4 linked regions of the Alligator mississippiensis genome follow. The protein of the gene in region 2 purifies or fractionates together with the protein of the main gene of each other region. This does not show direct contact. Links are inferred from orthologs where the notes say so. Each region holds a gene or a part of one and is shown on either strand. Other genes may lie near its edges.

What was found.
Region 1: the proteins of RC3H1 (region 2) and CNOT9 purify together in Homo sapiens (affinity purification with mass spectrometry, with the first as the bait; 4 studies listed by BioGRID). This does not show direct contact. The link is inferred for Alligator mississippiensis from reciprocal best matches to the Homo sapiens genes RC3H1 and CNOT9.
Region 3: the proteins of RC3H1 (region 2) and NUFIP2 purify together in Homo sapiens (affinity purification with mass spectrometry; 3 studies listed by BioGRID, with this or other methods). This does not show direct contact. The link is inferred for Alligator mississippiensis from reciprocal best matches to the Homo sapiens genes RC3H1 and NUFIP2.
Region 4: the proteins of RC3H1 (region 2) and CNOT10 purify together in Homo sapiens (affinity purification with mass spectrometry, with the first as the bait; 3 studies listed by BioGRID). This does not show direct contact. The link is inferred for Alligator mississippiensis from reciprocal best matches to the Homo sapiens genes RC3H1 and CNOT10.

The regions. Positions count from the first base shown.
Region 1 is NC_081827.1:253,766,873-253,774,240, reverse strand, and holds the start of CNOT9 (CCR4-NOT transcription complex subunit 9), read right to left. Parts: upstream 3,016-7,368; 5' UTR 2,930-3,015; coding exon 2,906-2,929; intron 1-2,905. Other genes in the region: USP37 (ubiquitin carboxyl-terminal hydrolase 37), read left to right, coding at 4,737-4,892. UniProt on the Homo sapiens protein: Component of the CCR4-NOT complex which is one of the major cellular mRNA deadenylases and is linked to various cellular processes including bulk mRNA degradation, miRNA-mediated repression, translational repression during translational initiation and general transcription regulation.
Region 2 is NC_081828.1:48,049,080-48,056,588, forward strand, and holds the start of RC3H1 (roquin-1), read right to left. Parts: upstream 3,014-7,509; 5' UTR 2,696-3,013; intron 1-2,695. UniProt on the Homo sapiens protein: Post-transcriptional repressor of mRNAs containing a conserved stem loop motif, called constitutive decay element (CDE), which is often located in the 3'-UTR, as in HMGXB3, ICOS, IER3, NFKBID, NFKBIZ, PPP1R10, TNF, TNFRSF4 and in many more mRNAs.
Region 3 is NC_081837.1:1,384,050-1,391,839, forward strand, and holds the start of NUFIP2 (FMR1-interacting protein NUFIP2), read right to left. Parts: upstream 3,012-7,790; 5' UTR 2,946-3,011; coding exon 2,783-2,945; intron 2,345-2,782; coding exon 2,246-2,344; intron 1-2,245. UniProt on the Homo sapiens protein: Binds RNA.
Region 4 is NC_081828.1:142,098,261-142,105,422, forward strand, and holds the start of CNOT10 (CCR4-NOT transcription complex subunit 10), read right to left. Parts: upstream 3,001-7,162; 5' UTR 2,793-3,000; coding exon 2,738-2,792; intron 2,466-2,737; coding exon 2,371-2,465; intron 1-2,370. UniProt on the Homo sapiens protein: Component of the CCR4-NOT complex which is one of the major cellular mRNA deadenylases and is linked to various cellular processes including bulk mRNA degradation, miRNA-mediated repression, translational repression during translational initiation and general transcription regulation.

The sequences.
Region 1 (7,368 bases), on a different chromosome or scaffold from region 2:
TGAATAGTGACACATTCATTCTGTGTTAAGAGCTGGGAGACTAATCCTCTTAGCACCTCCAGTAATGAGGCTTACAAACACCGCAGAGTTTGGTTTGAATGACTGAGCGGCAAGCCCTTTAGCTGAGCTCAAATGTGCAGCCCAATTGTGCCAGACCTGCTGGAAGTTTCAGTTCAAGCTGAATTTTTGAAGTGTAAGCCTGGGCCAGAGATCTCCAGAGAATACTAAATACATTCTCCAGGCAATTAAGTTCATGGTGTCCACTACCTTGGTTAATTAGAAGCAAATTGGTCTCCATGAGCTTTACAGCCTCCCATCGTATTTAACCGGTCCCTGAAACACTCAATTAAAAGTCTCGAGGAAATGTTATTTCTTACATTCCCAAACTGCTGCTTTCCAGACTACCAGACATTTTTTCTACTCTCTACCTAAAATTCAGGGAGGACTTCAATTGTTAGATGCAAATACTCCACACAAATATTCAGATGAGCATCTAGGATCTTCCCAGACTGATTGCTGTTGCACCTTTAGTATGCAAGAGTTGGGACATCCATTACCACACCCAGGACTGATCACTTCTGGAGCGTTAAAGGCCTCATGACGCTTTTTGCAGTAATAAAGGTGTTCCCCCGGTTTTTGGGCCAAGCCACAACTCTGAGAGTTACACAAATTCATTTAGACAATTAGGAACCACAAGAAAAAAAGAAATTAAGGGGAAAATAAAAAAGGCAGCTCTTTCTAAACATCCAAGTTAAAAATACTGACCACTTAGAGAAAGGCACACCGCCAGGCAATATTGTGTCCTAGCTATTTTTGGTGAGATAATTAACACAAGAACCCCAGAACGATCTCTCTAGTTAATAACCTGGGTCTGCTTGCTTGGTGCTTTCACACCCCCTACTTTTACTTCAAGCTTCCCTTTGCTAGCTGTTTTCATCTCTACTCCCCCTACACCTCCCCCAGTACTGAGCTATGCTATTTTCAGTTTTCAAAGCGAAATGCTGGCACTACATAAAAGGCCAGGACTGTCTTACTGCAGCTTTCTAAAGGCAATGCTCTTTCAACCTAAAATAAGACTGTCCCGCTTTAGTCCCACTGGACTAAGCCAGGGCCTTCCTCGAGGAGAGCAGGATGTGTTGCAGCCACTAGCTCCCTCCAGAGATGGGTGTAATTAGGCTCCATTTATGCCTCTGTACCCTTGAAAGTATTAAAATATCAAGGTGTAGCTACCCGTGTCGGTCTAAAGTCAAGTAGAAGGGTAAATTTGCACCACACAGACTAACCAAAGCAGATATATAGGCATACTATATACAGTATACAATATACGTACAGTATTAGAGTACCTTCAGCGCAGCTCTTCAAGAGGACACAATTCTGTCAGGTGCTGTGACCAGAGCACACGTCCACTACAAATATTTAAAATCAACTACTGCAATATCCTGCTCTCCTCGTAGCAGCCAGAGGCGGGTTTTTGGCTTGTTTTTTTTTAATCAATGCTGCTTTAAAGTGATTTTGCATCAGAGGGAAGACTAGAAAACAGAATAAGAAGCTCCACCAGCCCCTCGTATATGATGAAAAGCACGGTAGGGATTGCAGCCAATGGTTCTGAGCACTAAACTCCAAACTTCTGTTTTGTCCTCTACCAAACATCACTTTTGAGCCTAAATATTTAGCTCAGCAACTGACTGACACCCACAGCAGCAAATCCCATCTGAATGTGATATTCTAACACATATGGAAGATGTGAAAGTTGCTATAATTGACACTGTGCTTGCTAACAGTACTGCAAAAGACAGGGCAAGGTGGGGAGGTCTCACCCTTTTAAATGCTTGGGAAATGCCAGCTCTTATTTCTCACTATTTATGACTAGAGAGAGAGAGCAGAGCGGTTCTGTGGCTGCAAAGAAAGCCCGCGGCAGGTCCGTCAGAGTAGCTGTAAGCCTACGAATTCCTCTTTGAAATCTCCAGGTTCATCTCGAGAATCAGGATCACGCACCAAACAGCGCTAATGCTGCGTGGCCCGAAAGGATCTCCAGGAGCTGCGGCACCTGGCTCCGAATCGCTGCTTTAGAGACAAACTGATCCAAAAAGGCAGCGGGTCTCGTACGCAGCGACCGATCAACGCCTTTGAGGAAGCAGCATCGGACGCAACAGGGCATCGTCTCTGCAACCGCCTGCCGCTCACCTCTAAATACAGACCGGGGGGGTGGGGGGGGGCACGGCTTCCACCCAGCATCTCCCGAGCACGTTAACAACCCGTTAAAGGAGCAGGAGGTCAGCAGCCGCGGTCCCACGGCTCTGCCCGGAGCAGGGCTGGCCGCGAGGCCTGGCACTGCAACGAGTTTCACACACACTTTCGGTGACGCTTTGTCTGGGCTGGTTTGCACAGGGCTGGTCCTGCTTCAGGCAGGGAGGTGGACTCAACCACCCCCCCAAAACTATGGGAATGGCCCCCCAAACACCATGGCCAGCCCCCCCTCCCCCCAAAACACCATGGCCAGCCCCCCCTCCCCTCAAAACTAAGGGACAGCCCCCAAACACCATGGCCAGCCCCCCCCAAAACTACAGGACTGCCCCCCAAACACCACAGACAGCTCCCCTCCCCCCCAAAACTACAGAACCGCCCCCCCAAACACCACAGACAGACCCCCCTCCCCCCAAAACTATGGGACCGCCCCCCCAAACACCACGGGCAGCCCCCCCTCCCCCCAAAACTACAGGTCCACCCCCCCAAACACCACAGACAGACCCCCTCCCCCCAAAACACCATGGACCACCCCCCCACAGTGCTGCTAGGTCCTCCCGCCAATACTACGGCCAGCCCCCACAAAAAATACCATGGCCCGCCCGCCCGCCCGGTACTAGGACAGCGAGGTCCCCCGCGGGGCAGGGCGGCGCGGGCTCACCGCGGCCGTGGCCAGGCTGTGCATGGCGGCGCCGCCGGGGCTCGGGCCGCGCTCAGGAGGCCGCCATGGCGCCGCGCTGCCCTCCCCCCGCGGCGCCCTCTGACCCCTCCCCATGCGCATGCGCGGGGCTGGCGGGCGGCGGCAGCGCGCGTGAGCGCGCGTGGGGCATGCTGGGGGCGGCGCGGTGACGTCGGCACGCCGTGCGTGCGGCCTCACGCTGTCGCCTGGTTCCCGCCATTTGCCTTCAGCCCTCCCCCCGCCCCCTCAGGAGCCGCCGCCGCGCGCAGGTACGGAGCGGGGTGTCTCCCGGGGGGGAGCTGCCCCCCCGGTGTGGGGAGTCCCCCCCCCCAGACCTGCGGGGAGGAGCAGCAAACACGGGGCCGCGGCGGTGCGTTCGGGGACGGACACGCAGGCCCTGCCTGTTGCGTGCCTCAGTGCTCCCGCCTCTAAAATGGGCCTCATCCGCCCTGACTGCCACTCCGATCCCCTTCCCCTGCCCACTTCACTGCTCTGCTCCCTGCCCGGTCTGCCGCTCCGCTTTCTGCTCCCTCACCGCCGCCCGGCCGCGGCCCTCGTACCCCGGCCCCGCCCCGCCGGCCACCACGCTTGCTAGGGGACAGTGCGCCCCCCAACCCCCTCCCCTTTAATGCTGGAGGGCGTGCAACCCCCCTCCCCTTTAATACAAGAGGGTCCTTCCCCCTTTAATGCTGGAGGGGGTGCACCCCTCCCCTTTAATGCGGGAGGGTGCAGCCCCCCTCCCCTTTAATACAAGAGCATCCTTTCCCCTTTAATGCGGGAGGGTGCGTGCCCCCCTCCCTCCCCTTTAACACCGGCTAAACAATGGTGTCTTGTTCCCGGGCAGCCGCGGCGGACGGCGTTCGGGACCGGGCACGTTGCGAGGGCGTCGAGGCGAGTCGGTCGCTACCGATGAGCAAGAGCGAAAGGGTCCCCCTCGTTTATAAAACGTTTCTGGAGCCCGGCGGCTCCGTTAAACCGATCGGCCGTCCTGGCGTCACGGCACCGTCGGCGTGCTCGGGTTTTAACGCAGAATAGCATCGTACGGGTTGCGTTTGGGGTTACGTGTGGGTTCCCTTGGGAAGCGGTTCCCTTTTTTCTCCGTGGTTTCATAGTTGTTAGGGTCGGACGGGACCCCAGTACACCATCGAGTCCGAGCCCGCGCCCTGGGCAGGAGCGAGCGCGGGGCCGGGTCAGTCCGGGTCATCCCTCTGTGAGGTCACGGACTGTCGGCACAATGACGTCGTTCTTCACGTTCTGTTCCTCGCCTGCGTCACTGGGGATCCCGCGGTGCTGGGTGTCATCCCGATCGCAGCGCGGGTTAGCCGGTAGAGGAGATCGGGGTCACGATAATACGAGTAGATGACGGCGTGACTTTTGTCTTTTAAAGAGGTTAGGTGCTCCCTAAAAAATGCTTCTTGTGTAAATTCACCAGGACTTTGCAGAAGTTGCAGGTATAGATTTCCTTGAAAACTTTCTTTTGACGTATTTGGTCTCAGCCAAAATCGGGCTTGTTTGGAAAATCTGTAGGGTTTTCACGGAGGTTTTTCAAGGTTATTTTTTTTTGGTGTCTATTCAACACCCTTTGGTGCAGCTTATCTTCAGAGGGTAAAATAATTAATGCTCTGAAAATTGGGGTTTTTTTGGTCCAGCAGGCATCTGGAGGTAATAACATGAAATCGGTTTGTTGCTGTACCTCCCAGAAATGTTTTTTACACTTTCCACAGCTATTTTTATTTGCCAATTGTACGTCTCTCTTGGACAGGTTTCAAGGTGGAGCCAACGCAATCTCTTGTAAGTTTAATAGCAAGACAACATGGCTCCGCTGAAGGTACACGGCCCCGTCCGGATGCGTAGTATGCAGACTGGGATTACAAAATGGAAAGAAGGAAGCTTTGAAATAGTGGAGAAGGACAACAAAGTGAGTCTAGTGGTTCACTACAATGTTGGAGGAATTCCAAAGACATTTCAGGTACACCAACTATCGAGGCTTTTTGTCTGAGTTGTGCATAGATTGTGCCCTTTTGTGACCAGCTGTCCTCTCTGAGACTATTAAGTGTCACACAGACTTCCCTCTGAGACTGTTTCTTGTTCCTCGTTTCCAGCACACTAATCCTTTTGTCTAACCCTGCTGTAAATTATTCAGGTGTTCTGGTAGGTGAACTGCCACACCAGGCAGGGAGCGCACCATTAATTGGGAAGAAATGAGACCTAGAAACCACGAAAAGAAGACAGAGCTGTGTAGCACCTGGCCTCTCAGCTTGTTGGAAATCCAAACCCTTTCACCTGATACACTTACACAATCGAGATGAAAGTCTACTGGGACCTCGGGGCCTTTTCTACTCTGGTGCTTTTCCCAGTTGAAATGCTGAAAAATTCCAGTGTGGATCTACTGGTAGTCTTTCTGCTTACTGATGTGAGGCTCATCTTCAAAGTGTTGGCCTGACTAAGTTTTAAATGCTTCAAGCAGTGTGACTTGCACCATCTCTCTCTGGAGATTTGAGAGTGCTTGCTGTCGAGAAATCTCTTCCAATAGTCAACCTTATTTTTCCTCCTTTCATTTGCCTTTTGTTTCTCTTAATTTATTATTTTTAATGCAGTGGTGCCCTACGTACATTTTGTCCAGCTTACGTGAGGAGATTGTAAGCTCTTTAGAACCCGTACTGTCTAAAAATCCCAAACAGACAAAGAATTGAAGGAAAGAGCATTAAAAGCTCTTGGGAATTGCTGTAATGGACTGGACCCATGTAAGATAAAGTGTAATTCTGCGTGGTTCTTCCCTTAAGTATTACTGTGTACTTGGTAAGGTCCTTCTGACCTCATGAGTCTTGGGCAGTGGTGGTACCTAGAAGGGACTGGGAGGATTTACTGGTTCAGGAAGTACCTGTTGCATCTGTTTTCCTAGATGCGCAGCAAGCTACTGCACTGCTGGCAGAGATTTTTAGCTTAATTGATGGGAAGATTAAATTTCTTGTTGTAGAAATCATAGAGGGCAGAAGTAGGACTGGAAGGGGCCTTCCCAGGTCATCTAGTCCAACCCACTTCCTGAGGCAGGATCATCCCTATCCCAACCATCCTGTACAAGTCATGATCTAAACTCTTTGTAAAACTATTGTCACCCCTGACATAACACCAGGCGTCACACCCAAACCTGCCATGGGTGAAGCAAGGGGACTATGACAGCTAGCAGCCTGCTTCTATAAAGGTTATTAATATATGCTCAAGAGATCCCAGAAAGAAGACCATATCCCCCTGCTACAGAGGAAGGTTCACCCCAGATATGATGTTGGTCTGACTCTGAGAGGGGGAGAGAGACAGGAAGCGGGAACGTCAGGCTTGAAGTCCTAGCAAGTGCACTGGCACAGCCCAATCCCCATCTCCAGCCTGGGTTGCAGCCAACACCCAGTGCCACGAAGGGAGGCTTAAAAACCCACTGACACATGCAGCAGAAAGTTTGGGAGGGGGGGAGCAACCAGCAAAGCCCCGCAGCCCGGAGCACCCCCACAGCAGAGCACGGGCATCGCTGCACCTAGATCCTTCCCACCCAGTGCACATCCAGCCTTTCCTTGAACCCTCCAGTAATCCTCTCCTTCCCAGCGTAGTGGTGAGATCCTGAGATCCAATCTAAACTGACTTTGCTGCAACTTCAAGCCATGGGTCTGCACCCTCCTCTCTACAACAAGAGAAAAAAGAAGCTTTCCCTCTTTATGGCAGTCCTTCGATTATTTGAAGGCTGCTGTCATGTCTCCTTTTCCACAAACTGAACATGCCCAGCTCTAGCCTCTCCTCATGTGACTTGCTTTCTAAGCCTTTTATCAGCCTTGTTACCTGCTTGCTGTCTAGACTCTGTCCTGTGCTGTCAATGTGTTCTGTGAACGTTTTGATATAAAAATGCAGATAAACAATGCTGAACGCCTTATCTATCGCAAGTGACAGAAAGCTGTTGCAGTGGTGATTTAAAATGTACGTGACTAAATTCTCAGCAGTCAGGTGACACATGCATTGCAATAGTGGTTCCTCTTACATGAGGCTTTGGCAGAAGTGTCAGCCCTTTTTCATCTTCCGTTTCAAATTCATCAGAGAATTAAGCAGTCAACTTCTAGAAGAAATGAAGAAAATCTTTCTAGATGCTGTAGAGTTGTTGGCTGTAGACGTGTTGGTCTAAAGGCATAGACAGACAAGGTTCTTTAGGTAAATGTGATAATCTTTTTTTAGACCAACTAAATAATTGGTTGTGAAGAATAATTTTTCCAACTATTTAGTGGTCTAATAAGATCACGTTTACCTAAAGAACCTTGTCTTTCCGGATTTTAGCAGCTTTTCATACTCCTTATGTTACACTGCTGCTTAAAGACTTGTTTGACTTAGGTGCTATACGGGAACACAATAGGAAATGCCATGAAGGCCTTACAATCTAGTTGAAATAAGGCATGGCAAACAAATGCAGA
Region 2 (7,509 bases):
TATATGCTGACTCAATGTTTTCCTGAAGAGTGGTTAGAGGGGGTGGAAAGTGAGAATTATTTTGGTAGAAGAGTTATCATTGGCTGACACTGGGTTACTTGCTGAATTTCTGTACATATTTTAGCTATTTTTATATGTGTATTTAAAGACACAATAGAGTTATTTTTTTGTAAAGTGTTTGGATTTAAAAAGTCTTTCTTCTTAATCAGCGGTCCAAGAGCAGCAAATTTAAACTTTTACAGGTTAAGACATCTATCCACTAAAATATAGAATACCACAAATACAAGAAGTTTAAAAAAAAAAATCACGCTATTCTGATTACTTTGTTTGTTCCTCTCCTATTTTAATTACAATATTTCATTCATTACTTGAGAAAGGGGTCAACATTAAAAAAAAAAGTGCTAAAACTGTCCAGGGGAATCTGCTGTGATTAGCGCTTTTGAGAAGTTGGGCCACTTATTTGAAAGCCCAACTTCAAACATTCTTTAAAAAAAAAATTCAGCTTCATCCCTTATATTCAAAAGCTGGACATTCAAGCTTTTCAGGGTGTAGCACTGGCTCCTACTAGGAGCAGTTTTATGGGAGAGAAAAAAAAAATTCCTGTTTTTTTAAATGGCACATAGCACTCCTCTTAAATAATGGTGAAGCATAAGATAATGAATCTTAACGCTACTAGCCTGTTAATCTAGCTGTACTTTTCTGGTATATATGGAATTGGACATAGTCCAAAAGGCCAGGCCAGTGAAGTTTTTGATTTCTGCCATTGTTTCCCTGTTCTTTCCAAACACTGACAATAAAGCAATTAATTAAAATCGTGAATGTGTACACACATTAAAATATACACTGTGAGAGTTATGAGAAAAATCATCAGGTGGAACGGTTTACCCTTCATCTAAATGGAAAACAAAGGCAACTGCAGCTTCCTCAAACTGTCTTGTCAGAGTTAATTCACTTCTGTGCTCAAGTGGCCACATTTAGATAATAAATGTCTATGTATAATGAGTCCTTAACTCTCTGTTAAATTTTTCAGTTTGTGGTTAAATTTTTCAGTAATGCAGACACTTGACTATTTAGAACTGTATTGAGGCCATCATCTCATTTCATGAAATTCAAATAAGCATCGGACCTTACAGTTACTATCAAGCCAGACCAGCTTCAAGCCTAATATCTATTGCATGCTGTTTTATATTAACCTGGATTTGGTATGAGGCTGGCAAAAAGAAAAAGACAGACAACTTGCTTCCCCATGAATTACAACACTGCTCAAAAGGTTTGACAGACAGAGACTAGAGTTGTATGTGCAACAAGAGTGTTCTGGTAGCAGCAGTACAACTTCCCTCAAAATAACATGCCAACATGTCTACTGGGAAGAGACCTTTTCTAGGACAGCAAAAATAAGCAAGGGCAACTTCAAGGAAAGAGAGGAGAGTCTAACCTCAATCCACCCAGCTCCAAAAAATGGCAACTATGTGTACAGTTTGCATTAATGTTCAAATTAGCTATTGCTAATTACTAAGCTGATTTAACTGATGAATGAGAAATACCGCCAACCCTTCAGCATGGCAGACTTTATGTATTTCAATTATCTATTAATAAAAAAGTAGCCGCACACAGGCTTCAGAGTCATCACCAGGAAGACAGCCTAACATAAAAAGGTGTTACTGCCTGAAAAAAAAAAAAGGCCAACAGGGCAGCCTCCTTCGTTACTGCATCCCCATGTAAAACAAAGGGGGGGGAACCCCAAGACTCCACGTTTTACAGTGGTTAAGTTTTACACATTTTACAGCGTTTTACAGTGGTACCACTGCTAGAGTTCGGTTCAAGCAGAAATTTCAACGCGGACCCCTTTGTGCACTGGGATTGCCCAGCCCTTCTCAGCTCCGGGAAAATCATGGAAGCTGCCTTCTACCTGCGGGAAGTAAGCGTGCTCGACAGCGCCAGGGCCCCATATCAGTTACTGATAAATACAGCCGTGGGTGTATCTGCACGTTCTCTCTTTCAAACCGCAGCTGGGGAGAAGGAAGCGGCAAGGAGAAAACGAAATACACGGCCAGTTTGGAGGAAGCTGTCCCACTTCTCCTTCCAGGCTTTGGCAGGCCGCAGCACTCCGCGGGCCAGCGAGGCGATGGGCCCTGCCCGCAGCGCACCGCGGGGTGCCGGCTCCACATCGCACGGCCCCCGGGGCCCCGGCCCTACAGCTTTGGGGTCTGTGTCGCGCTATTGTTCGTGCGGCTCCCCCAGAGCCAAGGGCGGCCCCGGGGTTGAGAGACCGGTCCGAGAGCGGCAGCGCGGCGCTACGCACCCCTCTTTGTGCGCCATCTGCAGGGCCCAGCCCGGGCGGGGAGGACGGGGGCGGACAAAGCTGTTCCCCGTCCGCTGGCGGCGGCAGGAGGCGCCCCCTGTCCGCCCCCCGACACGGGAAGACACAAGCGGCCCCCCACCCGCGCGGCCAAGGGCACCGGGCCGCGCCCTCCCCCTCCCCGCCGGGGGAACCTTGAAATCGAGGCCGGCCGAAGCCTGCGGCCTAGAGAGGCGAGCAGGGGCACGGCCCTCACGCCCGCCGCAGCCCCCTGGGGCCGCCGCTCGGGGAGGGGCCCGTCGCCCCGCGCACACGCCGGCCGGGCCCGGCCAGGACCAGGCCGCCTCCGCCCCTTTGTTCCCCGCCCAGCCCCGCAGACCCCGCGGCCACACTCACCGCACGGGCCGGGCCGGGCTCCCCGCAGCAGCAGCAGCGGCGGCGGCTCCGCTCAGCCCCGGGGCACGGAGGCGGCCGCAGCGCCCACCGCCTCCAGCAGCAGGGGCCGCCGGGCCACCGCCTCCTGCCTCCGCCCCGCTGCCTCTGCAGCAGGGGCCATCTTGTGCGCCTGCCGCCTCTGTCTGCCGCCTCCTCTCTCCGCCTGCCCTCTCCCTTCCCTTCGCGTCTTCCTCCCCCGCCTCCTCGGCCTCCTTCTGCCGAGGCAGGAGGGGGTAGGGCGAGGGAGGAAAAAAGCCGAGTCACTGGCTCGGCTCGAAGCCCTGCCCCGCTGTCCCGGGGGGAAGGGGACTCGCCCCTCTCTCCGGGGCCTTCCTCCAGCACCCACCCGTGCCTGCCCTGCCCCCTCTTCGGGAAGAAGGAGTCATCCCAGCCGCACACCCTGCAGCCGGTGCTCTCTGCCGCCCCCCACCCCCCGGGCCACCCCTGCTCCCCCCCCGGGTGCCGGAGCCCTCTCTCACAAGGGGAGCAGTTAATGTATCCTCCCCCCCCCCTTGCTGACTGCCCCTCACCACCAAAGCTCAGGCTTTCGTAGGCAGGGGAAGCGGCTCCCCCTCCCCTCAAAGGGTCACCCGTGCTTGTGTGCAGAGAGGATGGAAAGATGAATGCCTCCCCCTCCCCCTCCCCCTCCCCCTCCTTTGCACTCCAGGGCAACCTCGGCGCGACAGAAGGCTTCAGCTGTTAGGGCTGGTGCACATGCCAGGTGTCCCTACCCGAGGGAAGCCTAGTCCTTCCTTTCCTCAGCAGATGGGCTAAGCTGCGACACACCTTCCTGCATAAAGGCAGGAGAGTTGAAAGGTCTCCCTCCTACAAAGGGGTCCTTTGTCAGAGAATAGCTGGCCCCACAGACCGCTTCTACTCGGAGAAACTTCAAGCATTAATGAAGCCTCCCTTAATTATTTAATGTGTGTAGGGTGCTCTGAAGCTTCAAAGTGGTTGGAGAGCTAAATATTAACACCTCTGTGAGAGAGGTAAATAGTATCCCCATTTTACAAATGCGGTGAAGGGAGACACAGCAAGGTTAAGCAACTTGTCCGAGGTCGTGCAGGGATTGGTGGCAATAGAAAACAGCAGCCCCTCTTACCAAGACTTGTTTTTTAAATAAAATCATTTTTAAAACAGTTGATTGTAACTGTCTATACAACCAGTGTCCAATGCCCACACTGACGTACTGATTTCACAGTGGGGCTCCATGCAGAGACAGTTGCAGGACTAGAACCATTTTAACAACTATGTCCCTTCAGAAAGTTCATTGACTCGCACTGTTTTTTAAGAATGGGTTTAAAAATAAAACCACATTTGCATCCTCCCTCTTCTATAGGTAAATCTTGTGTAGCTATCTGCCAATAAACTATATTTTTTAGTTCCCCAATTGAAAGGCCCTAAGGCTTTACCCCTTTTAGTGAAGAAATAATGCAGACATTCGTGTTGTGTATTGATTCATCATCAGTTATAACACTGCAATGAACCTACCAAATTATTACTTGGCATTGTTTTAAATCCCAGTTTGAGATACAGTGGACTCCACACCCCCTCCAGTGTGTAGGAAAGAGCAGAATAAACTGCAGGTGATGAAGAGTTGGCACAGCAGTCTGGGAGCTGGCTGCAAATGGTGGCCTGAAAGCTGGTTTATGATGCTATGGTTGCAGGGGTAGGATATCAGCAAAAAGTACACAGAACTATAGTTTTTAGGCAAAAAGCTAGTGAAGAGGGGTTACACTGGACTCTTACTTCTATATCCCTGTATTGGGCTGTTGAACTGTTTTGATTCTTGTTTCAATTTTGGACAAAGGCAGCTATAATAGCTGCCATTTTTTGATGGAAGGCAGAACAGGGTAGCACCTCGAGACTAAGAGAACAAGTTAGTCTCTGAGGTGCCACCTTGCCCTGCCTTCTGACTGACTTCAAACTAACACAGCTAACTACCTCTATCTACTTAAGCACTTTTTAGTTCTAGGAATTTTAGTAAAGGAATCCCATCCCTCATTTAAAGTATGCAATTGTTTTTAGGTACCTATCAAAGACTAGAGCCTGAACAGCCTGGAATTTGGAACATCTACAGCACTTACCTCCAAGCTTGTGGTATACTCATCATACTGAGAGAAATCCAGGGTTTGATGAATCACAGCACTTACAGTGAGAGCTGGCTTCATTGCTCATAGTAGTCATGAATTGAAAAGTTTAACACTTAAGTGATATGCAACCAAAACAGCTTACCAAAAACAAAGAATAACTAGCTTTGGCATCATCTTTGGAACCTACCTCAAGTGGGATCTTCCTACGATATTTGCTATTCTTCGCTTCAGAATCTTAGATACCATTATCAAATACAATATTTATACAGTTACAGTATATGTGTGTGTATGGCGGATGCAATTCAGTGTAGATAACTGTAAAGTTATGTACATGGGCAAAAATAACCCAAACTATACCTACACTATGATGGGCTCTACATTAGCTGTTACTACAAAGGAAAAAGTTCTGGAGTCATTGTGGACAGTTCACTAAAAACATAATCTCAGTGCTCAACAGCCATTACAAAGGCAAACAAAATGCCTTTGAATTAAGAATGGAACTGTAAACAAAATAGTAAGTATTGTTATACCCCTCTATAAATCAGTGGTGCATCTGCACCTTCAGTACTGTGCCCAGTTTTGGTCCCCACACCTCAGAAAAGGATTTAGAAGAACTAGAGAAGGTACAGAGAAGAGCAACAAGATTGATTAGTGGTATGGAGAGGCATTCATATGAGGAAGGAGACTAAAGAGTCTAGGCCTATTCAGATTAGAAAACAGACACCTATAAGGGGACATTAGAAGGGTTTACAAAATATTAAATGGTGAAGAGAAAGTAAATAAAGATTTATTATTTACCAACTCTCTCTATACTAGAACCATAAAATGAAACTAGTAGGTAGTAAGTTTAAAACTAACAAAAGGAAGTTATTTTTCACATGGCATGTAATTCAAGCATGGAACTAGCTGCTACCAGATACTGTGGAAGCTGACAGTTTAAACAAATTCAACAAGGGATGGGGCAATTCTTGGAGGAAAGGGGCATCAATAGCTGTTGAAAGAGGCATCAGTAGGGAATACAGCCTCTGAATTAAAACTTCCCTAACTCCCATAAATGCTGGAGGCTGAAAGTGAGAGAGGAACAATGGAAAAAACCCTGGTCATACCCAGTTCACTCTCCCTTTCAGCATTCACTCTCTGCCCCTGTGTGACACAGGCCTATTTGTTCCTTTAGAGCAGGCTTGTCCAACATATGGCCCGCGGCCCAACATGCAGCCCGCCAAGACGTTTTCTGTGGCCCGCAATGCTGCAATGAGAAATGAAGGTAAACACAGTTTACTTTTGTTCCCACCCCTTGTTCCTCCCCCAGCCCCTCAGCAGCTTCCTAATGGCTGCTGAAGGGCTTGGGAAGGGACAAGGTTCCCACACACACCGCGTCAGCTTGACGCTCCCGACACGGCGCATGTGGGAAGAGGAGTAGCCATGTGCCTCTGGGGACTGAAAGAGCCCGGCTGGAGCAGCAGGGGCTCAGGTGCACTTTCCCCCTGCCTGCGCCGGTCAGTCCGAAGTGGCACACAGCTCTGCCGCCGCCTCTGCTGGCTGGTGCCGACCCGGACGGGTTCGTTCCATCTGGAGCAGCATGCAGCTGAAGCCAGCTTCCCATGTGCCGCTGGGGTAGGGAGAAGCCCGGTTGTTCGGCACCAGCAAGCAGAAGTGGCAGCGGAGCCATGTGCCGCTCGGGACTCACCAGCGCAGGCAGGGGGAAAATGCAGCTCAGCCCCTGCTGCTCTGGCCGGACTCGTCCTGTCCCGAGCAGCACACGGCTCCGCCGCCACTTCTGCTGGCTGGTGCAGACCCGGCTGGGCTCCTCCCGTCCCCAGTAGCTCATGGCAAGCAGGCTTCAGCTGCATGCTTCTCCAGATGGAAGGGACCCAGCCGGGTAAGCACCGGCCAGGAAAAGTGGCATGCAGCTGAAGCTGGCTTCCCATGTGCTGCTGGGGATGGGAAGAGCCCAGCCAGGTCTGCACCTGCCAGCAGATTAGTATAATGTGACAAGCCTATGGCTGGGGAGGGGTCAGGCTCCCTAGATCTGAGACCTGATGTAGGCTATGGCACAGAGACTTACTTTGGAACAACGTGCTAATACACTTGTGTCTGTACCTGCCACGAACCCAAGTAGCAGGTGATTGATACCTGGTAAGCTCATGTGAGTAAAGACTGCTTATTGCTTTCTGTGTGCCCTTCAAAATGTTTTTATCCTACTAAAATATGCCATACTTTGTGAGAGTCATTGCCTCTGTATGAGAAAGCAGAATCATATCCACTGAACTAAATTCATGCCTCGTGGAAATAATCACAATTCAGCAAAATGGGCAGGAAGGGAAAGCCAGAGTTCTAAGTGTGCACCCTAAAAGAGGCCATGAGAGAGTCAGAAGCACAACCTTAGAACCAGGACAGCTATCCGGTGACAGCAGTCCAGGAGGCATGATGAGAATCCTCTACTCTCATGAGATTTAGGAAAGCAAGAGGACATGAGAACAACATGTAGGCAGAGACAGTGTAGGGCCTTGGAGCTATGTTAATAAGTGAGGACACCTATGTTCCCACTCTGGTCAGTGACTAATTGTGGGTACATCTTCACTAGCTTCAAGCCACTCAAACCTGCTGCCAAAAAATAAGCCCCTCCTACCCACTTACACTTTACCTGCTCTGAACTGGAAATGAGGCAGTAAGGGCCCTTCT
Region 3 (7,790 bases), on a different chromosome or scaffold from region 2:
GCCCTAAACAGACCCGGCTTCCTCAAACAGGTTTTTTAAAATAGAAAAATGTCTGCCCTTCGTATAGCGGAAGCGTGTCCCTGCCACTTAAAAGCCACAGTAAAGGGTTCGGCTTTGCCTCAGTGCAAGGCAGCAAGCCAGAAAGCCACCACGAGAAGGGAACCTTACTCCATTGACTCTAGCGCACAGACACACAGTGCATCTCTGGGCTTTTTACAAAAGTAAGAATCAAGCAAAGCGCTGTAGCGATATCAAGGAAGGAGGATACATCTAGAAAAAAAATAATCACCATGGTGGAGACTGCAACAACCCTGCTCTAGACTGTTGGAGCCTGCAAATTTTAAAACATTCCCAAGAAACTACAGCTGCAGAGAGGAACTATCCACCTCTGCACCAGGCCTATTTCTGAAGATGTAGCATGGATCCTATGAACAAAAGGCCAACTTTTCCTCACTCCGATCCCCTCCACGGCCTGCCATGTGCCTAGGGAGAAGGACTGCCACAGAGGTCAGTGCACAAACATCAGTGACAGACACCTCCGGGTTGGAATCAGCCAATGAGAACCAAAGCCCACAGGCTCGCTATGTTTGGGAAAGAAGAAGGTCCTATACTCCCCTATTAAAAAAGAATTAAGGTAATGCTTCTTAAGCTGAAGGATGCTTAAGGCAAGTGGTTCCCCACCCTGATTACTATGCAAAACTCCTGCAGAGGCCCCCGTGATGGACAGGGTGTTCTCCACTTCACTGCCAAATGATGCACTCGAGAAGTTCCACCTTCGTAATTGCTCCTCAAAATGTATTTTCTGGCCCAGCCCATGCCCCGGCTCTGCTTCCCAGCCTCTGGCTAAACCCTACATCTACCTCCCAGATGCATCTTAGCAAGCCATTCGGAGGCTTCTCCCTTGGAACATTCCCTGGCTCCATTTCAGAACAGAGCCGACAGCAACAGGCACGGCTCCCACCTACGCTTCTCAAGGTGAGGTGCTTAGCTCCGAGAAGGTGACAACACTGCTGCGGGAATCCTTTCCACTGGCCTTCCCATCCCTGTCTGCCCGCCCACTCCAAAAAAAGCAGAATGACAAGAACACCCAGGGAAAACACTGTCTTGACCCCGGCCCGTGGCCCCAGCCGGCCAAATCAAGGGATTACATCAGAATATCCCGCTTTTGTTTCTTTGAAGGTAGGCGGCTCGTCCTCGTGGCTGCGCAGAGGAGATGGCAAACGCAACCGGAGAACAAACGATGCCGGGCTATCTGCAAAGAGCCAGAGCGCCATGAAGGATCCCTCTCCTGCCAGCTAGCCCAGCCCACTCCGAGTGGGAGTGGGACCAGAGCCCCCTTCACCCACCCATGTCCCGGCGTGTCCGGAGCCTCGACCCGAGCGCTGGTCACGCTTCTCGGGAGCGAGGCGGCTCCAACACCCTCGCCACCGTGAAAGTACCCGAGGCCCGATTCACCGGGGTAAAGCCAGCAGAATGCAAACACGAGTCAGGCCCCAGGTCTCGCACGTGCCCATGGCGAAAACTCCTGCTCGAAACAAAGATATTCCTTTGGTTTTAAAAAATAAAAATAGAGGTCACTCAGTAGAGAAGGGCCTCCCATGCCGAGCACTCAAGCGCTCCCGTCGCAAGCAGCGCCGAAACCTGGCGAGACCGACAGGAGTGCCAGGGCTCAGCTCGCCAAACGGGGGAGAAAAGGGTTTTTTTAATCAGGCGAACATCTACCACCACCACTTCCCCCCCTACACGTTGCTATTAGTAATAATGCTAATTAACAGTAGCGTTAATTCAACGCTTCGACCTAAATCAGCGTAGGCTGCTGGAACTGGCCGAGGAGATAAGGAGGCAGCGAGCCTCCTCGGGAGTCGGGCTGGGATTTCTTTAACGAAGCGACACCCAGAGCGCGCGGCCCCGAGTCCCCCGAGCTCGGGGAGCCGGAGAGATTGCAATAGATTCGGTTTGGGTTGCCCGAAGCCCGTGGGTCAGCACTTCCAATTTTCAAGCGTTTACAACTCGGCTGCATAAAAATATTCTCCGGAGCCCACGGTCTCGCTCTGGGACGGGTCGGACACGGCGCCTCCGACCGCCCGGGTCGGACACGCGGGCGAAGAGAGCCGAGCGAACGCGCTCGCAACTCCGCGTTTTTCTTTTTTTGGGGGGGAAAGGAAAGCCCGACGTATTGCGGAGCGCGGTCCCCGCCCGCACCCACGCGCGCGGGGCCCGGCCGCGGCGCCGACGGCATGCCCACCTCCGGAGGACTGCGCAGCGCTCGCTAGCTTGCAGGTTTGCGGCCCTTTGACATCTATCTCCGAGATGTACCAGGTCCTGTACAGCCTCGCGGGCCAACCTGCGAACACAAACGTCAGGAGACACGCGGCCGGAGGAAGGGGCGCGGGGCTGGGCTGGGCGGGGGGCAGCGGCCCGGCCTGAGGCGCGAGGCCAGACCCACGGGGCTGTGTTTGGGGCAGCGTGTGTGTGTGTGTGTGTGTGGGGGGGGGGTGGTTGGGGGGATTTGGGGGGTTTGTGGGGTGGGACGCCGCCCCCGGTGCGGGGCGGGGCGGGGCGGTGCGGGGCAGGCGCCGGGTTGGGCGGGCGGGCGGGAGCAGGCCCCGCTAGGCCCGGCCGGGCCGGCTCCCAACATGGCGGACAGGAAGCGGCCCGCGAGCGCCGGGAAGCCTCCTCCGCCGCCGCCGCCGCCGCCGCCGCCTCCTCCTCCGCCTCCCTCCCCGGCGGGCGGGCGGGCAGCGGGCGCGGGGCGCGGGGCGGGGGGCGGCTGCCCCGGTACCTGGTCGCTTGGGCGTTGGGCCGGCGTGGTGCTTCTTGGGCCCGGCCTTGGCGTCGTGCGGCGGGTGCGGGTGCGGGTGGTGGTGGTGGTTGTAGTAGTAGTAGTGGTGCGGGTGCGGGTGCGGGTGCGCGGCGGGCGGCGCCTGCCCGGGCTGCTCCTCCATGGGCGCGGCGCGGCGCGGCGGTGCGGGGCGGGCGGGCGGGCGGTGCGGGCCCGGGCGGCGGCGCTCGGCTCGGCTCGGCTCGGCTCGGCCCGACTGACAGCGCCGCGCGGCAATCAGGAAGCGCCCCGCCCCGCGCCCCGGCCACGCCCCCCGCCCGCCGCGCGCCCCGCCCCCCGCGCACGTGGAGGCCCCGGCACGGCCCCCTCCCCCGCCCGCAGCCCCCGCCGCGTCGAGGAGCAGCTGGCCGGGGGGGCTCCTGCCTCAGGCGCGCACCGCCCTCTCCTCCAGTCCAAGACGAGCTCCCCCTTCTCCTCTCTAGGACCTTGTGACATCAACAAGCCTCGCACTAGCCCCGCTCCAGTCTACCACGAGCCCGGCCTCGGCTAGGCTAAGCGAGCCCCGCATCCAGTCTCAGGGCAGAGTCACCAGGAGCCCTGTCCTCGCACGGGTCTAAGATGAGCTTGTCTGAACGAGACCCCCCCTTGTCCAGTCTAAGATGACCCCCCTTGTCCAGCCGAAACGAGCTCCTCCCTGGCGAGTCGAAACGAGCTTTTCCTGTCTTTGCGCAGGGGAGCAGGGACTGGGGAGGTGGGTGCTGGTCCTATCTGCCCCCCGAGGAGGTGCCACCATAAGGAACTGCGGTTTAGGTACCAAGAGTGCAGGTTTAGGTGCTGATAATGGGCCTGAGCTGAGCGGAGCAAATGCCTCCCACCCACATCACTGTGCAGCCAGCCACTTACTCCGCTCCCCTAGCTGTTTGGGGGGTTGAAGGACACCTCTCCCTCCATCCATCCACGGAGAAGTCTTCCGCAACCCTGTCTGGCAGCTTCACCATCTGACATCCTGGAAATGCATATCACCAACTAATTCAGGTCGTGGTTTCTCTGCGGGATCACATGAGAGGAGGCGAGGGGTTGAACGTAGAGGATCCCAAGCCTGCTTCACTGTCCACATAACTGCACTGAAGTTGGTGAGGTTGAGGGGTGCCTGGTCCAGGCAGAATATAGCTTAAATGACTAAAAAATATCAAACTGAATGTGATTTAGCCAAGGGGTTACTCCGGTGGGAAAAGACTGCTTCCAGTCCTAGCAGTGCAGACTCCAGAGTCAAATCAAACTCCGCAGTTGTTCCACCAGAGGAGGAGGCTGGAGAAGCTAGAGCGCTCCGGCTGACTCTAGAGCTCCTCCAGCGGCGTGCGAAGGAAAGAAAGCCGGTTCAGTCAGACACAGCTCCACTGGAGACAGAGAATGCAGCACCAAAGCACTCAGGGAGCCTGCTACCTGCCTCTAACCACCAAAGCCACCATGCCTCTCTTCACTCTGATACAACGGAAAACTTGGGGTGGAAAAGTGGGAAATAAAGAGAAGCAATACCTTAGAATTACAATCATAGAAAATGAGGGTTGAAGGGAGCTCAGCAGGTCGCATCTAGTCCGAGCCCCTGCTCCAAGCAGGACTGGCCCCAAATACATCATCCCAGACAAGGCTTTGTCTACCCAGGTCTTAAAAACCTCCAAAGATGGAGACACCACCACCTCTCTGGGTGACCTGTTCCAGTGCTTCACCACTCTCCTAGTGAGAAAGTGTATCCTGATATCCAACCTCGACTCCCCTTGCTGCAACCTGAGCCCATTGCTCCTTGTCCTGCCGTCTGCCCCCACTGAGACCAGTCCAGCTCCAGCCTCTTTGCAGCCCCCCTGCAGGGAGGTGAAGGCTGCTAGTCAATCCCCCTCGGTCTTCTCTTTTCCAGACTAAATAAACCCAGTTCCCTCAGCCTCTCCTCACCAGTCCTGTCCCCCAGCCCCCAACCATGTTCATTGCCCTCTGCAACAATGCATTCATCACTCATTAATACCTATATGAATAAGGAAAAAATGAGCGTTGTCCGCACACACTGTGGTTTTGAATATGAAATGTATTTCGTTGGCATAAATTTTCATTCTGCAGCGAATCTGCATGCAGTCAATTCTCTGCTCCACGCTGTGAGTGTCTGATGTTTTTTCTGAAGTGGCTCTAAAGCGAGTGATTCCTCCTCTCCCCCCAGTCCTGGTTCTGTTCCACTGGAGAACATGAGGACCTCGCTCACCTATTAGACAGAGAAAGTAAATCAGTGCTTTATGCTGAAGAAAGTGAATTGGGATTTTGGGGGGGTAACATGGTACCACGATGCTGACTCCTTATGCTTACAAGAAACTTTCCAGAGTAAAGTGCATCTCAAAGCAGCAGATTATTTTAGACATTTTAGACAGGGAAGGTAGGAGGGAACTCTGAATGACTGAGATCGAAGTGACACAACGTGCAGAAGATCTGTACTTGGTTATGGGCCTATTCACCACTGTAGTACACAAAGCAGTCAGGCTGAATCTGGCACCAAGACTAGTTGGAGGCCCATTCATCTCGCAGGACAGCCCTGGTGTGCTTCCCCTCACAGCTGTGCCAACGAATGCCCATGCTGTTCCAACCTAGAGCTAGTGCTTGTCAGCTGTGCCAACTTGGGTCCAGGCTCTGATCAGAATTTACACTGCATTGTGTAATTGTACAGCGGGGTGAAGGCATCTCTTCCCGGGAGAAAAAAGCCTCCTGGTTTATACTTTGAATGGAAGTGCCTTGGGACAGGGCTTATGTTCGGTGCCCAGCACCACGGGCTTCTGGGACAGTGAACAAATCCATAAAGAAATAAAAATAACAACACAATTCCCCAAACATGGGAGTGCAAAAAGAGATATTTGACTCAATTAGCTTGAAATTACATTAGCCCAGCTTTAAATTGCAATAGTGACTGTAGATGAAGCAGAGTTTCTTTTACATATCAGACTTTTATAAATAGTCAAGTATATATAAATATACTTACACTATACTTAAATATACTTAAAGTATCTATCAATATACTTATAAATGAATGTAAATAGTCAAGTATATAAACAGAGAACATGCTTGTGTTTCTCTGCTTGAGGCTGTTTAAAATTCTATTTATAAATATTGAAACCTCCATTATCATTGTTTGAAGTTGCTGGGTTGTACCCTATACTGTTTGGCCTCTCCGAGGACCTAATCTGAAACGTGTTAGTATTACAGACGGAGCTAGTGACAGCATCTGCCGTTAAGATTCCCTACAACTTTTCATGGCTTTTCATGGCTTGGCTTTAGTGTTGCCAAACTTTAACTGTTCAGACTGACGTTGTTCTGGCCGGTGTCTGCCTCGTGCTACATTTGTAGAAAGTTTCATCAAAAATAGTTCTGCCACTTCTGAGAACAATGTTATGGGAAAAGACGTTTTGCCAGTGTTACAAAATGTTCATGCTGGCGTTGTTAATAAATTGTAGAAACACTCTGGAGCAGGGGATGTGAAACTCGATGCGTGTCTGTGTTGTGGGGCGGGGGAGCCTGTTGGGAAAGGGCTAAGGCGGTGCTTTTGCTGTGCAAATCCACCCAAATCCAGTTGATTTACAAGTCTCTGAAGATTACCATTGTGTATATTCAGTTTGTTAGAGTCCGGCCTAAATTTCTGAGCATTGCATGTTTGGAGCATGCTTCAGTTGGGGGCTGAAGGTGCTCATAGGACTTGCTCCTGCCTCTGCTGCTCCTGTCCATCCCGGCTTGTGGCGGTGCTGGAAAACAGCGCTGACAGCACGGAGAGCTTCCCCTTTTCAAACTCCTCCATGGTGTCCCATGGTCTTACCAATCTGGCAATTTACTCATGGGATCTAGCAGCTTTGGGGAGATCCTAGCAACAAACTGTTGTGTCAAGGCTCCTGTATCTGTTTGCTGGGTGTGATGACTGGGAACATTTTGACTGGAAGGTCTGCCTAGGAGTGTCAAGCAACTTTTTGAGGCATGCCTGGCAAATTCCATCTTTCAGGACTCGGCAGCACTACTGTCTAAGCCTCGTGGAGACAAAGGAGGTTTGACTTGAATGCAGAGGTGTGACAACCAGGGCAGAAGACAAGATGGGACTAGGCTGATGGGGCGAGATATGGAGGCAATAGAAAGAGAACAGGAGTGGGGCAGGGACAGTCTGGCGTTAGGGGAAAGAAGGGTGGCTCAGGGATCATAACCTAATAACAACCCTATCTTGACTAACTGCATTACATCCATGCTGTACTCTGAAGGAGGCTTGGCACCTGTGGGGGGAAAAGAAGTGCATGGCCCCATTATTAAAGACTTCCGCCTAGTGCATGTGGATAAGAGGGCTAGACTGAGGTTGCACAGGCACCCCTGACATTGGCACTTCCCAACTTCCGAGTGCTTGGCTTTGCAATTCAAATATACGCCATTTTTAATATTCATAATACAAAAGTGCCGCCAAATCCCAGGCCCTTTCATGCTGAGCAATGTACCAAAGACACAGCCTCTGCCCTGAAGATCTAGCAGGGTTAAAGTTTTACTTGCACAGAATGTAGTTGGAAATTTATGAATCAAACACAGCTGGTTTTTTTCCCCTTTTTTAAATATGTAGATGGTGGGACTTCTCCTACCAGAATTCGAACACCCACATTTACGTATTTTTCTTGTTAGATCGTTGAGGAGCTTGAACTACCAGGAGATCTGTGCCAGGTGGCCCACACAGATCGAGTGACTTGCAACACAATACAAGGAACAGTGGCAGCTTAATGTTTAGTGAAACCGATTTTGCAGCTGATAATTAACTTTAGGCCCTACACAAACTGTAAGGAGCAACAGTCCTTTCACATTTTATAGAAGTAACGTATAAAATGACCTCCCGTTGCTTAGGACACAAGCCTCGAAAGGAGAAGCTAACTTGATGTTTCACTGGTGACTTGGAAAAATTGTGTTTTATTTTTAATCCTCTAAATTGGCCTAAAGAAATAAACTTCAAAGGACTTTG
Region 4 (7,162 bases), about 94 Mb from region 2:
AACCAGGATATTGATAGAAGCATCCCTTTAAATTCAGGCTGCAGACACACAGATCCTAGTCCCAATTCAGGTTGAATGGTTTAATCAGAATCCTAGAAAATTAGGGTTAGAAGGGACCTCACAAGGTCATCTAGTTCAACCCCCTGCTCAAAGCAAGACCATTCCCAACTAGATCAACCCAGCCAAAGCTTTATCTAGCTTGGTTTTGAAAACCTCCAAGGATGGAATTACCACCACTTCTCTGGCTAACCTGTTCCAGTGTTTTACTACCCTCCTAGCGAGAAAATTCTTCCTAATATCTAACCTAGACTTCCCTTGCTGCAACTTGAGATTGTTGTTCCTTTGCTAGACTCTCTCCAATTTGTCCACATCCTTTCTGTAGTGGAGACCCAAAACTGAACACAGCACTTCAGATGTGGCCTTACCAGTGCTGAACAGAGGGAAATAATCACTTCTCTTGACCTACTGACAACACATTTACCAAGAGTCCAGTAAGCCGTTAGCCTTTTTGGCAACAAGGGCACACTGTTAGCTCATATTCAGCTTACTGTCTTCTGTAACCCCCAGGTCCTTTTCTGCAGAGCTGCTGCCCAGCCAGTCAGCCCCCAGCCTGTACTAGTACATGGGATTGTTCCATCCTAAGTGCAGGACTTTGCACTTGCCCATGTTGAACATCATGAGATTTCTTTTGGCCCAATCTTCCAATTTGCTTAAATCACTCTGAATCCTAGCCCTACCCTTCAGCATATTATTACTCCCCCCATCTCGATGTCATCTGCAGATTTGTGGTGGGTGCACTCTTTGTCATCTTCCAGGTTGTTTACGAAGATGTTGAACAAAACCAGCCCTAGGACCAATCCCTGGGGTGCTCCACTTGATACCAGCTGCCAGCTAGACATCGAGCCATTGATTACTACTGTCTGAGCCCAATGCTCCAGCCAATTTTCTATCCACCTTACAGTCAATTTATCCAGCCCATACTTCCTTACCTTGCTTGCAAGAATGCTGCGGGAAACCGTATCTAAAGCCTTGCTAAACCCAGGCACTGGTAATGTTTTTGGGCAGAGTGCCAAAAACACCTTTAACCTTAACTTGGAAGATGTTGGCATGCCAGGGGTAAGTGGAGGGGGAGCCATAAGGGGCCCACAATCCTTGTTATGGCAGCACAGCCCTGCTCCCTTCCCCACTGTCCATGCCAAGGCACACAAGCCAAGCAAAATGCCTTTATGTGCCATGCTCTGGCACCTGTGCCAGGAGTTGCCTACCCCTGGTTTAGCCCTTCACAGGTTCTGGTCACCTTGGACAATACTTATTAAATCAAGTCTAATTTAACTGCTTCCTACTGTACTTTGCATTACTCTTCCACTCTGCCAACACCAAGTAACTTGAAAATAAGTGCAGTAAATGAGAAAAAAAAGTGCTGGAAGTAAGGCAAAACTGTTAACAAGGTTATCTGACATAACTCCATACTAAAGGAAAACTGACAACTAGGAGTCTAGATTCATTTTGTCTGCATTCATCACTACCTTACAACCCGTTATCTTTTCTTGTGCTTAGAGGATTGTTAAAGTCTTATCACACATAGATGAGCAAAGTACGTTTGGCCAATTGTAGAACTGGAGATGAAACTAAAAGGAGATCAAAGTCAATTCAGGTATGAATAATTGTAAGAAATTCTTTCACTGTATCCCCTCAGGACCCCTTCCCATCATGTGAAGATCATGCCTCAAATGAGCAAAAGGGATATTAAAAACAGGACAGGTGAATGTGGAAACATTTAATACTGGGTTATGATATTTTGATCATTCCCCAGTCTTACAAATAAATCTGTTCATTTCATGTTAACAGCTTAGAAAAAATATTGTGCAGTGCTGACTTATGATAATACAAAATGGACAAGGAGGATGAAAGATAACACATTTCAAATTATTTAGATAATCTACATGACCCAAAAAATAATGGCTTACACAAAACGAGATAGAGAATAAGAAATGTGCACCCACAAACTATGGAGTAAAAGATTCAATTAAAAAGCTTGCTGTCTGAGTGTTTCCAGGACTACGTATATAAGCTTACTTTGCCAAGCTCATGACTGAACTCTGGGAACCAAGAAAAAAAAACCAAAAACGTGCTTGCATTTCTCTGTTTAGGTAACCCTAAATCTAAGGGCTCTATTTCTTCTTATTGTCTGACAACAGATATCAAAGTTCATATAAGTGATGGTCATTATTTCATAATGCTGCTGTTAGAAAGTAAAACAAAATTAGTATCTCAGTACATGTCCTAATATTCTAGGAAATATGGGAATAAACAGGTAAATGTTGAACAAAATTATATAAGAGAAATCTTTAAACTGAAGACTTTTCTTACCACAAAAGCCTGTAGTGCATTATTTGACAACTCCTTTTCCTGATCAGAAATTCCAGAAGTAGTAGTGGCTCCTTCATGTTTCTCAGTTCCCTGATCTGTAAAATTAAAAGGGTTAGAGAAAATAGATAGCTTTCATCATATGTGCAATTAAATTTAATAAAAATAATTCAGTATCTTTATTACATATTTCATTCCTCCCTCCCTCAAAATCCATTTGTTAATACTTAGGGCACCTTTACACATAACTACAACACTATCTTTGCTAAATTCAATTTGGAGAGTACAACAACTTTGGAGTTTGAGTTGCTCCCCCCAAAATATCTGGAGAATTTTTTTACATTGTAAAAAGTACATTTTGTTTACTTACATTTTGATACCAGTAGCTGGTAAAAACTATTGTAGGAATCTCTCTCATTCCGCATAGCTACCTAATTTAATCTGTATGCTACTACTTGTCCCCCAGTTGCTAAGTTCCCTTAATGTTAAGAAATGTAGCAAATGTACATGCTAAAGATGACTAAAAATAGAAGCAAAACGCTCCACTGCTATGCACTGAATATACAATCAGAACCCCAAAAAGAATGTAAAATTCATCTCACAGAACTATTCTCAAATAGGTTTTCCTATTCAGGAAATATATTTCAGATTTTGCATTATTAACTTAGAAGGGGTTAACTTTTAAACTGAAAATGGATGAAAACAAATATTCATTGGTTGGTATCTCTTAAGTGTTAAATCGTTTGGAATAGGTTGTCTGTTACAGATCTTCAGTAGCTAACATTTAGCATGAATGTACATCATTTGCTGGGACGATAGAAGGTATCGCATGGGTAGGAAGATAGACACTATTTAAGGTTACATATTTAATATTTTTTGTTCACCAATGTATATGCACGTTAATTGACTGGGGTGTGCCAGTGCTCCTGCTGGAACCTGCCAGAGGTTCCTGGCTAGAGGGCCTTGTCCGTTCACCGAGGGTCAGACCAATTTGCCAGAATTGGGGTCAGGAAGGAATTTTACCCCATGGTCACACTGTTACAAACTATGGGGGTTGTTGCCTTCCTCTGTAGCAAGGGGCATGACCCTGACCCTCTATCTGGCATCTCTTGAGCATATGTTGATAACATTTCACAGAAGCAGGACACTGACTGCAATGGCTTCCCTGCTTTACTTGTGGCAATTTACGGTGTTAGGTCTATATTATTTCAGGGCTGACTTGCGTAGAGTTTAGATTATGGTTTGTATGGGACAGTTTGGATAAGGATAACCAACCTGCCTCAGGCAGGGGGTTGGATTAGATGACCTCTGGAGGTCCCTTCCAGGCTTACTTCTCTATGATTCTACAACATAGAAGGACACATTTCAATAACATCATCTTATTTCTAACTTAAAATTTGAGCCCACAATTCAAAAACTAGAAACTCACCAGAGCTGAGGCCAACTGTGAAAGTCACAACAGAGAAAACTCTTCAGATAAAAAACAAAGTTTATGATAAGATCACCTTAAGTACCAGCCACAATTCTGAAGATTACACAGGAAAGAGACTAGTTAAATACCTGGGGGATCTTGGAATTCTACTCAATGTAATATTTTTTAGATTTACCTTTCATGAGTGGTGCTCAAGTTTTGGCCCCACAGGCGGGATGAGCAGTGTGGGGCTGGATTAGACCCTGGGACATGGTGCCACCCTCTTCTGCTAGGATCAGGCCTTAAGGCTGTCCCTTCCAGGCCCCCATGTACCAGGACTGGGCCCTAGGGTTCCACATCCCTGCCAGCCTCCCTGGGGCCCTGTGCCACCTTTTCCCAGCCCTGTGTGTTGGGATCAGGTGCCCAATACAGCACGCAGGACTAGGGCTCTCCATGGGTCTGGAAATTTGGCAGGGAGTGGTGCCACAGATCCCTCACTGCCAAATTTCCAGAAACACAGGAAGCAGTGTGGACCAAATGACATGACACTGCTGGTTGGATCTGGTTGAGCACCCCTGCATTAGACCTAAAACCCTGCATCTGCCAAAGCCCTTAGCTAGTCCTACCATCCATTCAACAAATGAGTCAAGGAAGCTTGAAAGAGTTTCTACAGTTTCTTTCCAACCACCACACATGCTCACAGTACAGAAATTAGACAGAATCATAGAGTTGGAAGGGATCTCAAGTTTCATCTAGTCCAGGCTTGTCCAACATACGGCCCGCTATGCGGCCCTCCAAGCCGTTTTCTGAGGCCCGAGGTGCTGTGACAGGAAACAAAAGTAAACAGTGTACTTTTGTTGGGGGGGGGGGGGGGGGGGCGCACAGGGGGGAGGTGATGTGATACCGCTTCCTGCAAGATCTTTGAATCTGGCTCGCCTGCCCACTGGGTGATAAAACGTTCACAATCCGGCCCCACATTCAAAAAGGTTGGACACCGCTGATCTAGTCCAATCCCCCTGTGAAGCTATAGGATGCAGTATTACTAAACCTTCCAATACAGATACCCATCCAGCTTCTTCTTGAAAACCTCCAATGAAGGATAGTCTACATCTTTCTCAGGTGGCTTGCTTCATTTTCTATAGTTCTTAGAGTTAGGAAGTTTTTTTACTGGAGATTTAATTTCAATTTTCTTTACTGCAATTTAAACCCACTGCTTTGCATTCTGTCATCTGTGGTAAAAGAGTACAGGTGTTCTCATTTATGGTCACCTTTCAAATATTTGAAACCCGCCATCATGTCCCCTTAATCTCTTTTCCCCAAATTAGGCATGCCCACTTCATTCTCTCAACATTGCATGACAAGATTGTCAAGTAAAAGCCAGAAAGTTAGTATTCTATAAATCAAAGAAGAACAAGGCTGGAAGGTGATTTAATCCAACTGCCTGCTCAAATTATCTCAGAAGCTAAACCAGAAAAACAAAATAACCTGCATTTAAGAACCTCCAGTGATGGATATTCCACAACTTCTCAAAGTAATCTGTTGCTGTACTTATCCAACCACATAGTTAGACAGTTCCTCCTAACGTCCAACCTAAAGCCTCCCATGTTGCAACTTCAGCCCATCATTTTTGGCTTTTTCCCTTGTGGACACAGTGAATAGTTGGTTGTCCTTTTTGTATTCTAAAACTTCTTATTTGTACTAATGGCAAAATAATTCTCTAGGAAGTAGTTAACAAGAACAACTTAGAAGATTAGGTTTAGGAGAACGTGTTTTTTAAATATATATACCCTTAAAGAGCAGGCAGCCCTGGCAGTGACTAGACTATTTGTGGAACATCCTAGTAATCCTCTGAAGTCTTAGGATATAACACCTCTTTATTGGGCTTGATTGAAGAAATCAAGAAATTATTCAACTCATTTCAGCAGCCTTACAGCTTGCATTGTTGGGAAGACCCAGATACCGCTAAACTCTGCTCACTACAATATCTAAATTAGAAAAGTCAACGTCAACTGTCCTCCACTGAATCATTCCATAACCTCGATCCATTTCTCCTACTTATTTCAGCTCATTTCTGGAAGCAGTACTTTTTTTAAACACACAACAAACTAAAGTATCTGCAGAAGACCAACCTGAGCTCCAGACAGCTTTGATATCAAAGCAAAAACTTCTTAGATGTAACCTCATGCAACAGAAACCTTTCCCCTGATATTACATTAGAGATTGGATTCCCTGAAGACTCACCTAGCCTAAACAGGCCACAGACTCGCCTGCTCATTTGCCATCCACTCAGGTTAAGAGATGCATCAGAATCTATTTCCTCCACAGCTAACAGCTACAACTTCAATGCGAAAGGTATCCATTTGCCACCCCAACCTTTCTTTTTAACCCTATTTTTACATCCCTTCCAATTGGAAATTATTTTTTATCAGTACTGAGCAGGATAATTTCTTATCCAAAATAAATTTGCATCCATTGCCACACCTCTTCTCTGCTCTGCCAGACAAAGCCACCATTGGCCAGCAAAATAATGTAACATATCTGGTTCAAAGCTTGGACCACCCACTGACCTGGTCCAACCACTGGAGCTCGTTCTTTAAGCAAATGAAGCCGAACTCTCCAAAACTTCTTAGTTATTATAATCCTCCATTTCCAACAAACAGACCAAGTTATTTTGTGCACCCAGCAGGGAAAATGTGTCCTTTACAAGATCATTAAATCTTGTCATAATTTGTCCCATGCTGCCAGAGTTCCCCAAGCAGACAAAGAGGTACAGAAAGAAAGCCACCATTCCTTCAGATGGTTCACCTATAGGTAACAGCCAGTATGCAGTGGCGACAAGCAGCAAGTCAAGAGAGACACTCAAGATGTTGAGGATTCGAGCTCAATGGGTGACTATCAGGTAAGACTTCTCTTTGAGCCAACTGGTTACAGTAATAACCACATCTTTCTTAGTATCTTAAGTACTGGGCATTGATTTTCCCCCTCATGAAGAGTTTAATATCTAAAAAGCTACTTCACCACATGCAAACACAGTTATCATCCCATGCAATGAAGGTTCATCCATGCCACACGCATTTCTGCAATGTCTGAACTGAAAGAGACTGTGCCAATCATTTTCACAAAGAATAAGCAATCTGACATAGTGATTATAGCATCGCTTCTAGTAACACAGTAACTACGGCTAAACTGGTTCCTAAGATAAACCCTTGTTTCACTGAATTTCTCTATGGTCAAGTTGGCCTCACAAGTTTCTAACCAGAAGTAAAATGTTTTAGCCTCAACCCTGTGAGAATAAAGAAATAAAGTTGGTTTTAAGTCAATCATCCATGAAAAGTAGATGGAGGATTTTAACAACTAAGAAGCTTTGGAGATTCTAGCTTCACT